Pelodiscus sinensis: one gene and its partners. The protein of the gene in region 1 binds, or shares a complex with, the protein of each later gene. Links are inferred from orthologs where the notes say so. Each region holds a gene or a part of one and is shown in the gene's direction. Other genes may lie near its edges.

Region 1 (3,744 bases):
TGATATATCATGCGTGAGTATCAAGCTTCTTGCTTTATGGATCTGAGACCTGGGCTACCTACTCGTGCCAAGAGAAAAAATTGATTAGTTTCCACCTTTGCTGCCTTTGCGGAATCATGAATATTAAGTGGCAAGACAAAGTTTCAGATGTAGATGACCTATCAAGACTTGGCATATCCAGTCTCATAGCGATCCTTAACAACAGAAGACTCTGATGGCTTGGCCATCATATATATAGTAGCCCAGTGTCTGTGCGTCTGTAACGCTGACGTACACAGCCACGCTCCCTGGCCGTGTATGTCAGCACCCTGCCCCCCTTTCCCTCCCTCCGTGGCGCGCTGCGCCACTCAGCTGGGTCCCGGCAGGGGAGCAAGCGGCAGCAAGCAGCCGTTTGGGGTCCGTGCTCTCATGGGGAACTCCGTGGGGAGCACAGACCCCAAACGGCCGCTTACCGCCACTTGCTCCCCCACCAGGGCACAGCTCCCAGCTGAGCGCACCAGGGAGGGAGGGGAAGGGGGCGGGGCTGGATGGAAGGGGGGCAGGAAGCAGAGCTGGGGGGGGATAGGGGGCTGTGGGGTTGAAGGAGAGGATGGGGGGGCGGAGGAAGGGGGGCGGGAAGCAGTGCTGGCAGGGGGTGGTGTCCGGGGGCCGTGGGGCTGGCCAGCAGGAAGAGGGGGTGGTAAGCAGAGCTGGGGAGGATTGGGGGCTGTGGGGCTGGACAGGAGGAGTGGGGGACGGAGGAAGGGGGGGGCAGGAAGCAAAGACCTGGCGAGGGTGGGTGCAGCCACTGGCCGCAGCCAGACTCCTTCTGGCTGTGCCCCCGGCAGGCAGACCAGAAGCTCCCAGTTTGGAGACGGCCACAATTGGCACTTGAAGCCTCTGGTCCTGTGCAATAGCTGGGAGGGGGGGCGTGACCACAGGGCTCCCAAAGCCAATTGTGCACCGCCTCTCAGTCACTCCCCCCGCCCCTGCCAGGCTTCCCTCCCGCACCCAGCCGGAAATTCACAAAATACTGGACATTGCACAACTCTGGTATTTTCTGATTTTTTTTCTACTGGACAGATGGTGCAAATACTAGAAGTGAGTCTGGCTCACAAAAGCTCATCACCTAATAAACCATCTTATTAGTCTTTAAAGTGCTGCACAGTCCTGTTTCATGGATTGTTATAGTTATGGGTTGTCCCTTATTCTCGATTGTACTGCTCACGCAGGGGGGATACTGGGCTTGCTCTGACTGACTGGGGCCAAGGCGCACGTGGAGGGAACCTGCGGCCGGCCCCCTCGAACACTCCATCGCTTTGCAACGGCGCGCGCACCTGCCGGCTTCCAAGCTATTCCCCTGCTCCCGCTCCCGCCCCCTCCCGGCGGAAGGATCTCGTGAGTGCTAGACGCTGGGTGAAGCGAACCCGCTCTTCCTAGCAAAGGTTCCGGCCGCCGCGCGGCGACCATTAAGTATTCGTGCGCCGGCCGAGCTTCTTGAGAAGGGACGGCGGCCATTTTGTTCGGCTTCGGGTGTCTGCTGCGAGGGGCCGGCCAGAGGCGGGAGATTCGGGTGCGGGCGCTGCGGTGCCGCTGGGAGGCCATGGCGGACATTGACAAGCTCAACATCGACAGCATCATCCAACGGCTGCTGGAGGGTGAGGAAGCGGGCGGGCCCGGGGGGGGGGGCGGTTCCAGGAGGGAAGCGCTCGGCTGCAGAGGGAGGCTCGCGGGGATGCCGGGGGGGGCGGCCCGGGCGGGGAGGGGGCCTGTGGCCTGAGCCCGCTGCTCGGCCCCCCTCGAGCAGCGTCCGCGGGGCTTTGCCGTGCCCCGGTGACCGGCCCTTCGCCTGCGTGGAGGTTCCCCGCACCGCGCCTGCCGGGCTGCAACGCCGCTGCCTCGGCTGGAGCTGCTGCCTGCAGCGGGTCCCCCCCCACCCGCGCGTGGCAACCGTAGGGCGATTGGGGGGGGGGTGAGGCAGCTACTTGTCCAGGGTCCTGTCTCCCGCTCCCTGCCGCGCACGTGCCGAGTGAAGGGACGCTTGGCTGTGCGTGGAAATGCAACTCCTCGAAAGGTCAGAGGCCGAGCATGTTGTGGGAGGCTTTAGAAAGATGGGGGGGAGGGGGAAGTGTCCTGCTTTTTGGCCCTTCAGGTGGGTCTCGTCTGTAATTGAGCCAGAGTAACTCGTTATCTGTGGGAATGCAGGTCTCGGTGGGTGTAAGAATAGGAGTTTTAGTTCATCCACACTCGTTTTTGACTTTTTTTTTTTTTAAGTGGAAGGGGGTGGTTTTGCTCTGAGGATAAGGTCCTTCTAAGCTTATGGAAAAGATTTGTCTTATTGTCTATCTGTAATGCTTTGGAGTGGGAGAGGATAGGTAGGTGCACTCAGTGTCTAGTCTTTTGTCATGGGGTTTTATTGTTTTTCTGTTTGGACGGAATCAGGTTAAAATAGTTTTATTGATCTTTGCAAATAGCCAATGACATTCTCCTTGGAGCAGGTAGCAAAATTAAATAAGAATAGGGTTTATCCAGCTTGTCTCAGGACCTTCTATGTACTCCGATGTCTCATCTGAATTTACCCTGGAAGAGCTTGTTCAGGATTTTTTTTCCCTCCCATTTAGCGCAAAGTAACCTAGGATTCTGCTGAACCAGATATTAGAGAAATGACTTTCATCTTTTTTTTTCCCTTGTAAGGTTTTTTGAACATATTGGATAATGAAAGGCCAGGAGAAAGTATCATCGTTATCCCTACAGAAATTAAGATTTACAAATCTAGTGGATTTGATTTGGGATTGTGCCAAATATATATGTACAGAGAGAGCATATTGTGTCTTGGTTTTTCCTCTTTGTGCTACTGTTTAGGTGTAAAATATATATACACCTAAACAGTTTATATATATATATAAATAAATAAAGGTTTGGATGTGTCTGCAATGGGATTGTTTCTCAGAAAACATTCAGAAAAGACAAAATCACCGGGAAAGTGAAAGGGACCTGCACTCTTCTCCCCCCTCCCCCAAACTGCCCAAGCCCCAGCCACCCCAGATACCCTTTAGAGAGGGCAGGGGGGGTTAACCCCCCCCCCCCCAAACTTGCACAGGAATATTGCTGGCTATTCCCCTTCCTCAGGGAGTGGGGAAAGTGCACAGTTTGCTGCATTGTTCACTCTGGCTGTGGAGTACAGGGGGGCAGACTAACCTGGACCTGCCCTAGCCAACTGGATATATACCCCTCTTCTGGCTGTGCCCGCTGGAGCAGTCATGAAGAGGTGCTTTTCATCTGACCCCCAAGCTGCTGCACTTCCTCTCCCCCCCCCCCCCCCATACACACACACACACACAGCCAGGGCAGTCTGCATACTGACTGCCTCGTTCCCAGCCCACCCAGAGCAGTGATTTAAATGAAGAAAAAACAAAAATTGACTTAAGGACTCAATTAACATTGGGTAAATCTTCTAGTATACTATATATGACTTGAGATTTTTTTTTTTAAGTTGGTTGGGAATGTGACAGCTGCCACCTTTAAATGCTACATAAATAGGACTTTAAAGGACTCACTAACAAGATACTCACAGGATGTCTGTCACTGTACTTAGAACTACAAATTAGCAGTAGTAACTAATGTGGCATTTAATTGATGCAAAAGCTTTTACAGTGAAATTTTACATAAAAATCCTCTTGAATTTCTTGATTTTAATTTGTTTGGGCAGGTATTTTCTAGCTTTAAATCATTTGATGCTAGTTAAACATCCTAACAACTGTTGTT
Region 2 (3,744 bases), on another chromosome or scaffold:
AGGGGAGGAAGGGACAGGAAATCAGAGCTGGGCTCAGCAGTTTTGCGGGGCTTGGGAGGAGGTGCAGGGAAACGGGGCTCAGCTGGGCCGCGGGGGAGGCATGCAGGGAACCAGTGCGGGGCTCAGCTGGGCTGAGGTGGATGGAGGAAGGCATAGGGAACAGAAGGGCAGCTCAGATGGGCTGCGGGGAACTGGTGCTGCTCTCCCTTGGATTGTGGGGGAGGTGCAGGGAACCAGCGGGGGTGGGCAGCTCAGTTGGGTTGCAAGAGAAGGAGGTGCAAAGAAACCTAGTGGGGAGGGGGGGAACCAGGAGCCCAGAAATGACCTTCCCTGGTCCAAAAAATCCCTCATCTGGGACCGGTCAGGTTTGGGAAACCCTGGTCTAGCCAGCTTGCTATCCATCTTACAGTCCATGTATCCAATCCATATTCCCTTAACTTGCTGGCAAGAATATTGTGGGTGACCATATCAAAAGCTTTGCTAAAGCTGGCACTGGGGGCTTTGGGAGGACCAGAAACAACTTATTTGCATATTTATCATTTGTTTAAAGAGTATGCAAATATGCAAATGAATGTTACCAGCCCTCCAAAAGCTGGTGAATGGCTTTACTGGTCCCCATATCAAAAAGTTTGGGAACCCTCTGGACTAAATAGTTACAAGAGGCTGATAAGAACTTGGAAAAGAAGATGAAAATCCATTCGCTTCGTTTATCTGACCAGACCAGCACACCAGCCCCTGTGTAAACAGCCTTGGATTCGGGATGACTAAGGGAGGTGGTGGAATCTCCCCCTCTGGAGATATTTAAGAACAGGTTAGATAGACATCTGTCAGGGATGGTGTAGACGGAGCTTGATCCTGCCTTGAGGGCGGGGGGCTGGACTCGATGACCTCTCGAGGTCCCTTCCAGTCCTATTATTCTATGATTCTATGAAGTGGTCTCACACTCCAAAAACGCCTTAAGGTCCCGCTGCCCAGTTCCCCACCTCTCGGTCCACCTTAAAGGCAACTCGCTGGAGCACACTAGGCGGACGAGTCCATTTGTCAAAGGGAGGGATGGTTGCTTTTTTTTTTTTTTTTTCTGGGGCAGCTCTAAAGAGCAGCTTGGCCCCTCCGGCCTCGGCTAAACCCAGAGTGGGGGAGGCTGGGCCGCTCTGCAGCGCGCAGCCTATTTTCCAAAGACCCCGGGCAGCTGAAATTGCGTCTGCCAAGTGAGCAACTAACCCACCCCGCCCCCCCCTTTTTTTGGGAGCCGGGCTATTTTTAGCCGCCGCTCTTGCAATATAAAGAATGGTGGAAGTGTTCAATCTGCAGGCAGACGGGCTGCTGCCGCTTTAAGGGGCGCTGGGGCAGGCGGGGATGGTGGAGGGGGTGGCAGGGGCAGCGCTTCCCACGCCCACCCAGGGCAGGGGGCTGCTGTAAGGGAGCGAGGCGCCGCTCGGACCGGTCCTGGGCACGGCCCCGAGGTGAGTGCGATGGAACGCGATCCGGAGCGTAGCCCTCGCTTGCTGCAAGCGCTTCGCATAGTTCCAGCTGGGGGTGCCCTCTGGCAGCGCTTCCCTGCCCCCTGTTGGCAGGGCCAGGGGGCCGAGCCGGCGGGGGGGGCTTTCTACTCAGGCTTCTCCAGGTAGGGGCATGTGGCACGGACCGACCTGTTGTAACCAGGTCCTGTCTGGAGCCCCCGGGGGCTGTTTGAAGCGGGCCATGTACCCTCTGGCTGGCGAGAAGTGGCGCAAGTTGAAGTTCCCCCTAGCAGCTCCCTGGGGGCGGGGGATGAGACTTTCCCCTTTTAAAAGGAGAAGTGAGCCGCGGTTAGACGGGGCTGCTCTTCTTTCGGACACGCCCGCTACTCTCCAGCTCCAACTCTGCTGTAGCATGTGGCGCGTCTCCCTCCTTGTCTGTGCCCCCCTGGCAAGATGTGGTTCCTAGTGACACTTTGCCCTGGATCCGCTGTGAGCCACGTTTCATAGACTCCTCCATGGAGAGGAGACCCCTTTCTCTCTTTCTATGGCTCAGTGTCAGAAAGAAAGGGGCAAAATGCAGGACAATGTAGCACTTTAAAGACTAACAAGATGGTTTATTAGATGATGAGCTTTCGTGGGCCAGACCCACTTCCTCAGATCAAATAGTGGAAGAAAGAAAGGGTTTATGCACAGGGGTGATTTTGGAGGAAAAAGCTTCCTCATCTTAAAAAATATTTCAGGGGTGCAGGATCTGGGGGTGGCAGCAGCCCCGATTTGAAATGGTTTTACAGGATGTACAGTTTTGTTCCATAGCTTTCGACAGCCCCACTACGCAAATTGCTTCAATGCCGCTGAAATATGTGCGATCTTCATTTTTCCACGGACGTGATAATTTTTAATAAAAAGTGATACGCCCAGTGGGTCTGATTGAATTTTCTGTATAGATAAAACTAGTGCCCAAAGTGAAGAGGGATGGTTGGGGGAAGAGATGCTTAGTGATAATGTGTAAATAAAATACCTTCTTTTAAAGTGTCTGACTCTCACAAAGACACCAGGCTTATATTTTTCAAAGATGCTTAATTATCATTTACTTTAATGTGATGTTGGTATCCAGTTCCCTGATATTCCCCACCTCATAGTTTTGCATTGAGCTAGTTTTGGACTACAGGATATTGTTGCTAACTGTCTGGGAAGCGGAGCCTTTCATTTTGTATTTTGGTTCTAGAGCCAGGAGTCGTTTCCTAGGACTCTAAATGAAATTTGTCGGCACAGAAGCTTCTTTATTAGAGTTAATGGAAAAATTATCAAAAAACAATGCCAAATGTATTTAATAATGCAAACTAATTGGCTTTAACTCCTATTTGCGGAGACAAAGTACTAGAAATCTGAGATGACTCTGAAAACTCCCTAGCTATTTGAATTTGTGACCACTGGTGCTGTGAATTAGTAATGTTACTTGGTGCGTCTTTCCATCCCGAGATCTCAAAGCACTTTGCAAAAAGTAGCAAATCCCTGTTTTACAGGCTGAGCAACTGAAGCACCGAGAAGTTAACTGACCATCCCACAATGACGCAAGATACAGTCAAGTGCTGGGATTAGAACCCACACTGGATGCCTCTCTGTCCTGTGCTCTACTCAGGAGATCATGCGGTGCAGGAGAATCAGTCTGATTTATTTAGCATATCGTTGACTGCTATCATTTTATATATACATTTATAACCGTTCCAGGGTGAACGATGGAAACTTTGGACTGTAAGCTTCAGGGGACAGAGACTGTCTTTGTAGTCACATTGAGACCAGTGTTTCCTGTAAGTTGTGCGCTTTTGTGGCTGCTCAGGAGAAATTCAGATGCCGTCCAGCTGATTAGCAGAGCACCCACAGATGTTGTGTCTCTATCGGTGCACAACTGCAAATGTCTCGGTGCACATTAAAAAATTATTCCGCACATAGATGGAAAAGATTAAAGGGAGCAATGGTTGAGAGGCCTGAAGGTATGGCTGAAATGTAAATATATAACACTAACCACGGAGCATTGCTGAGTGTGAAGTAAGCTGGCCAAAATTTCCAACATTGGTTCCCTAACATCAAGTATCTAAGTATAAAAATCTAGGCCATTTGCTTTAGGGATCTCACTTAAGGTTACAGTTTTAAGGCCAGACTTATTTCAGGCTTTAAGGGTTACAATCAATTGGAAAATCCTATTTTTCTGATCTGGAAAACATTGCTCATACAACAGCTTCAAGTAATAACTAAGGCACACATGTGGTTAAATCAGTGCAGTTGA
Region 3 (3,744 bases), on another chromosome or scaffold:
TCCTCCCCCTCAACACCTCCCCCTCAAACCCCGCCCCTAACTAGGCTCCTCCCCCTCAACACCTACCCCTCAAACCCCGCCCCTAACTAGGCTCCTCCCCCACCTTAACCCCCCCTCGCATTCCCTCCCGCTTCCAACGTCTCCTCTCCCTCGCGCACCCCCCCTATTAGTTCCCCTCCCCCACCTCTTCTCAGGGTCCCCATGCCCCCCCCAAAACGTCCTCCCCCACCATGCAAGCTCCGGAGTCCCCCCGCCCTCTTCTCCTCAGAGCCCCTTGCCCCCTCACCTTCCCATTCTTGGGGGTGCCATTGACGAACAGGGTGACCCGCCTCATGCTCCTACGATGCTTCTAAACCCGGAAACCAGCAGCGGTGACTGACAAGGCCGGGACCCAACCAGAGCCGCACTTCCCCCTCCTCTTGCCCAATAGAATGCAGAGGTGGGAGGGACGTTCATTGGTGCAGGTGTGTGGAGGTTAGGCAGGGAGAATTGACAGGGGGCGGTCTGCCTCGGGGGGGGGCGGGGTCTCGGTTGTAGCCAATCAGAACTCTTACAGTCAGGCAGCTTGAAAAGAGTAGGGCGTCACCCTTCACGGCCAAATGGCATGAGGCGTATTTGCATAAAAGGGGGGTCGACTCACTCCCCGCCTTCTGATTGGCTCGTGTATGTCACGTGAGGGAAGGACCGGCCGTTTGATGGGCTCTATTTCAAAACTAAGAACTCTCCAATCGCGACGAAGCTCTGTTCCCTGCGCGCTGCCGGGACTCGCTGCAGGGAAAAGAGTCCCGTGTCGCTGAGCCGCCGGCAGAGACTGAGCACCTAAGTCTGCCAGCGACAGCCTTCTTCTTTGCCCCTTCCATGAGGCGGATGGCACATGCGCAGATTGGTGGGGCTAGCAGGGGAGGCGCCTCAGCGCTGGCCCAGCCTGCGGAGGGATACGCACGTGCATGGAGGAGGCAGTGAGTTTGAATGTTAGAGGCGCGTCTAGCCTAGTGGAGTTTCCTCAGTCGGATCGTTCGGGATCCAGGAGCCGCTGGGGGTGAGGGGGGAGCGGAAGCAGGGGGAGGGGCGGGGGAGGCTAATGAGGGGGGCAGGGGGCGGGGGAGGCTAATGAGGGGGGTGGGGGGCGGGGGAGGCTAATGAGGGGGGCAGGGGGCGGGGGCGGGGGAGGCTGAGGGGGGGCGGGGGTGGGGTGGGGGAGGCTAATGAGGGGAGCAGATAATGGGGTGGGGGAGGCTAATGAGGGGGGGCGGGGGTGGGGGAGGCTAATGAGGGGGAGCAGATAACGGGGGTGAGGGAGGCTAATGAGGGGGGCAGGGGGCGGGGGAGGCTAATGAGGGGGAGCGGGGGTGGGGGAGGCTAATGAGGGGAGCAGATAATGGGGTGGGGGAGGCTAATGAGGGGGGGCGGGGGTGGGGGAGGCTAATGAGGGGGAGCAGATAACGGGGGTGAGGGAGGCTAATGAGGGGGGGCGGGGGTGGGGGAGGCTAATGAGGGGGAGCGGGGGTGGGGGAGGCTAATGAGGGGGAGCGGGGGTGGGGGAGGCTAATGAGGGGGGCAGGTATGATAGGAGTTGAGGAAATGCCCATGGAAACAACTGGTTGGAGAATGGGCTGGGGAGGGAGGAAGTTGCTGGCTGGGTGGATATTGCTTGATAGACCCTTGGGCACAGGGGCTCTTCTCTGCTGCCCCTCCTGGAGCTGTGTTGGCCCCTGTTACCGGGTTTCTTTTTGTCATGTGCTACATGCCCCTGTGATCCCCTTGAGAATATGTGGAATATGCTCCCTTTTCTCTTTGTGCGCGCCCCCCCCCTCCCTTCAAGCTGCATCCCCTTGGATGGGGGTCAAGAATGTGCAGCAGTGAGCAGCAGCTGTGACTCGGCATGCTTGCCCAACAAAATTTCCCGTCTTCTTTTCTACCCATTGCCCTCACTCTCCATTTCACCTTGTTGCCCAGTTGAATGACAGGCTTTCTGTACCACCAAGTGCTCCCAATCTATGGTCACATTTTAGTATGATAAAGGGAACAATGAAACAACTAAAAGTAGATAACCTGGGCCTCCCATTCATATATGTCAAACAATGCCACATGCACAGCATGGTATAACAGGCTTTTCCCCCTTCTTAAAACACCTGTTATTTTAAAGGATCAACTTACTCTTAATACTCTGTTCCATCTGCCAACTGGTGTTGAGCTTTTCAAAGCAGGAAGGCCCACTTTGATATTGAATAAACCTGCAGCATCATGTTGTTACAATGTTCTTTTAATAACATTTTGTCACAGCCTGACACACTTAGTTAAGCATTGTGATGCTCAGGTGCAAGACTTGTGCTTATACTGCTTTGAATTTTGGGCATGAATTTCTGTTTAACTTTTCACTATCCTATTTGCCATACTTAGATAACATCTTTTTATTTAAATGAACAAACTGATTTATCCTGTTGTGCTCTAGATGATCATTATCTCAGAAGCTGGATATTTCTTTAATGAAAGTGAGTACTGGCTTGTGCATTTTTAAAAAAACAACAAATGATATGGTAGCACTTTATAGACTAGCAAAACATGTAGATGGTGGTATTAGATTTCGTGAGGTGGTGATTTGGAAATCTCCACCGTAATGTTGAATTAGCTTAGATGGTTTTTGTGTTTAATATAGACATCAACATACGTCAGAATGTTATGCATATAAGATCTGATATTTACAGTAAACTTCATAGCTAACATTTCATGCTTCTCTCCATAGAATGGCAGCAGTATCTTCTAATGGCTTGATGTCTGCATGTTATGGTGATTGCTTTTACAAAAAAACATAATGACGACGTCTTAATGACAGACGCATGATTACAAGAGAGCAACAAGACTGGTCATATTTTTTTAAGCTCAGAAAACAGCACTGACAATGCGCAGAAAATCTAGACAAATTATAAATACTGTTGCTGATGTCAAAGAAAATTTGAAAGGACTTATTGAAGAAGAGAAGGTTTATTCTCTGCCCATTCCAAAAGACAAGTTTGTCAAAATGGATGAATCAAAAAGCTCATACCTTTCAGAAATTGAAAATTTAAATGACCTGAGATCTACACATGTATTTAAACCTGGAGTAAAATGCAACGAATACATAAGGAGAAAATCATATCAGAACAGCAAGGATGATAGTAAACTGGCAGTAAACAAAAGCCTTTCTTTTAAACTAAAGGGAAACTTACTTCAACCTTCCTTGTCCTTTTTGACAGCACACAAACCTCAAAGTCCTTTTTCAAAAGGCAGCCCTACATTCTTGGATGATGCAAGCTATGTGACACCTGATAAAGGTGAAGCAGATGTAAAACCAGATTGTGAAACATCAGAGAATGTAATGAAGACACCTGTTGATTTTGCAAGTGTAACTATAGCTGAATTTGGGATTACTCCAGAGTCTTTTACTGCTAAGCCATCTATAGGTAAGGGGTTAGCAAAGTGACTCTTGGAATGAATGTTTCAAAATACTGTGGTTCATTTGTGAATGAGAACATTCTCTTAAATATTTAATGGTGGTTGTGAATGGTGGTCCAGAAGATTTCAGGGCATTTGGGACAATTTCTGATAACACAGATATAGGTTTTATAAGTAGTGATTTGGAAATAGTACAGGAGATGGAAATTGTGAAGAATTGTCCAACATTCATTATAGCTGGTGTATAGAGTAATTTGCTATTAAACATGTGTTTTCTTGGGGAGAGGGGAAATACTATGACTTCCTAGAGCT

What was found.
Region 2: the proteins of PPP1CC (region 1) and MRAS are in contact, whole or in part, in a cryo-EM structure (PDB 7SD0), measured with the Homo sapiens proteins. The link is inferred for Pelodiscus sinensis from reciprocal best matches to the Homo sapiens genes PPP1CC and MRAS. Residues at the interface, in NP_002701.1 of Homo sapiens: Pro178, Asp179, Gln181, Gln185, Arg188, Ile189, Met190, Thr193, Asp194, Pro196, Gln198, Leu201, Trp216; in NP_001078518.1 of Homo sapiens: Ala5, Ile31, Gln35, Lys36, Ile37, Val39, Asp41, Glu47, Asp48, Ser49, Leu51, Lys52, His53.
Region 3: the proteins of PPP1CC (region 1) and CDCA2 are in contact, whole or in part, in a crystal structure (PDB 5INB), measured with the Homo sapiens proteins. The link is inferred for Pelodiscus sinensis from reciprocal best matches to the Homo sapiens genes PPP1CC and CDCA2. Residues at the interface, in NP_002701.1 of Homo sapiens: Arg20, Gly21, Ser22, Pro24, Lys60, Tyr70, Asp71, Leu73, Arg74, Glu77, Tyr78, Asp166, Lys168, Ile169, Asp242, Leu243, Tyr255, Phe257, Arg261, Pro270, Asn271, Ser284, Asp286, Glu287, Thr288, Leu289, Met290, Cys291, Ser292, Phe293; in NP_689775.2 of Homo sapiens: Lys391, Arg392, Val393, Thr394, Phe395, Gly396, Asp398, Leu399, Ser400, Pro401, Glu402, Val403, Phe404, Asp405, Glu406, Ser407, Leu408, Pro409, Ala410, Asn411, Pro413, Leu414, Gly417, Gly418, Thr419, Pro420, Val421, Cys422.

The regions. Positions count from the first base shown.
Region 1 is NC_134725.1:34,181,515-34,185,258, reverse strand, and holds the start of PPP1CC (serine/threonine-protein phosphatase PP1-gamma catalytic subunit), read left to right. Parts: upstream 1-1,453; 5' UTR 1,454-1,582; coding exon 1,583-1,637; intron 1,638-3,744. UniProt on the Homo sapiens protein: Protein phosphatase that associates with over 200 regulatory proteins to form highly specific holoenzymes which dephosphorylate hundreds of biological targets.
Region 2 is NC_134717.1:6,283,015-6,286,758, forward strand, and holds the start of MRAS (ras-related protein M-Ras), read left to right. Parts: upstream 1-1,103; 5' UTR 1,104-1,208; intron 1,209-1,288; exon of another isoform or gene 1,289-1,463; intron 1,464-3,744. UniProt on the Homo sapiens protein: Signal transducer in the Ras-MAPK signaling pathway that regulates cell proliferation and survival. Core component of the SHOC2-MRAS-PP1c (SMP) holophosphatase complex that regulates the MAPK pathway activation.
Region 3 is NC_134738.1:9,384,349-9,388,092, reverse strand, and holds the start of CDCA2 (cell division cycle-associated protein 2), read left to right. Parts: upstream 1-788; 5' UTR 789-959; exon of another isoform or gene 960-1,039; intron 1,040-1,639; exon of another isoform or gene 1,640-2,452; 5' UTR 2,453-2,492; intron 2,493-2,743; 5' UTR 2,744-2,899; coding exon 2,900-3,440; intron 3,441-3,744. Other genes in the region: BTB/POZ domain-containing protein KCTD9, read right to left, coding at 287-334. UniProt on the Homo sapiens protein: Regulator of chromosome structure during mitosis required for condensin-depleted chromosomes to retain their compact architecture through anaphase.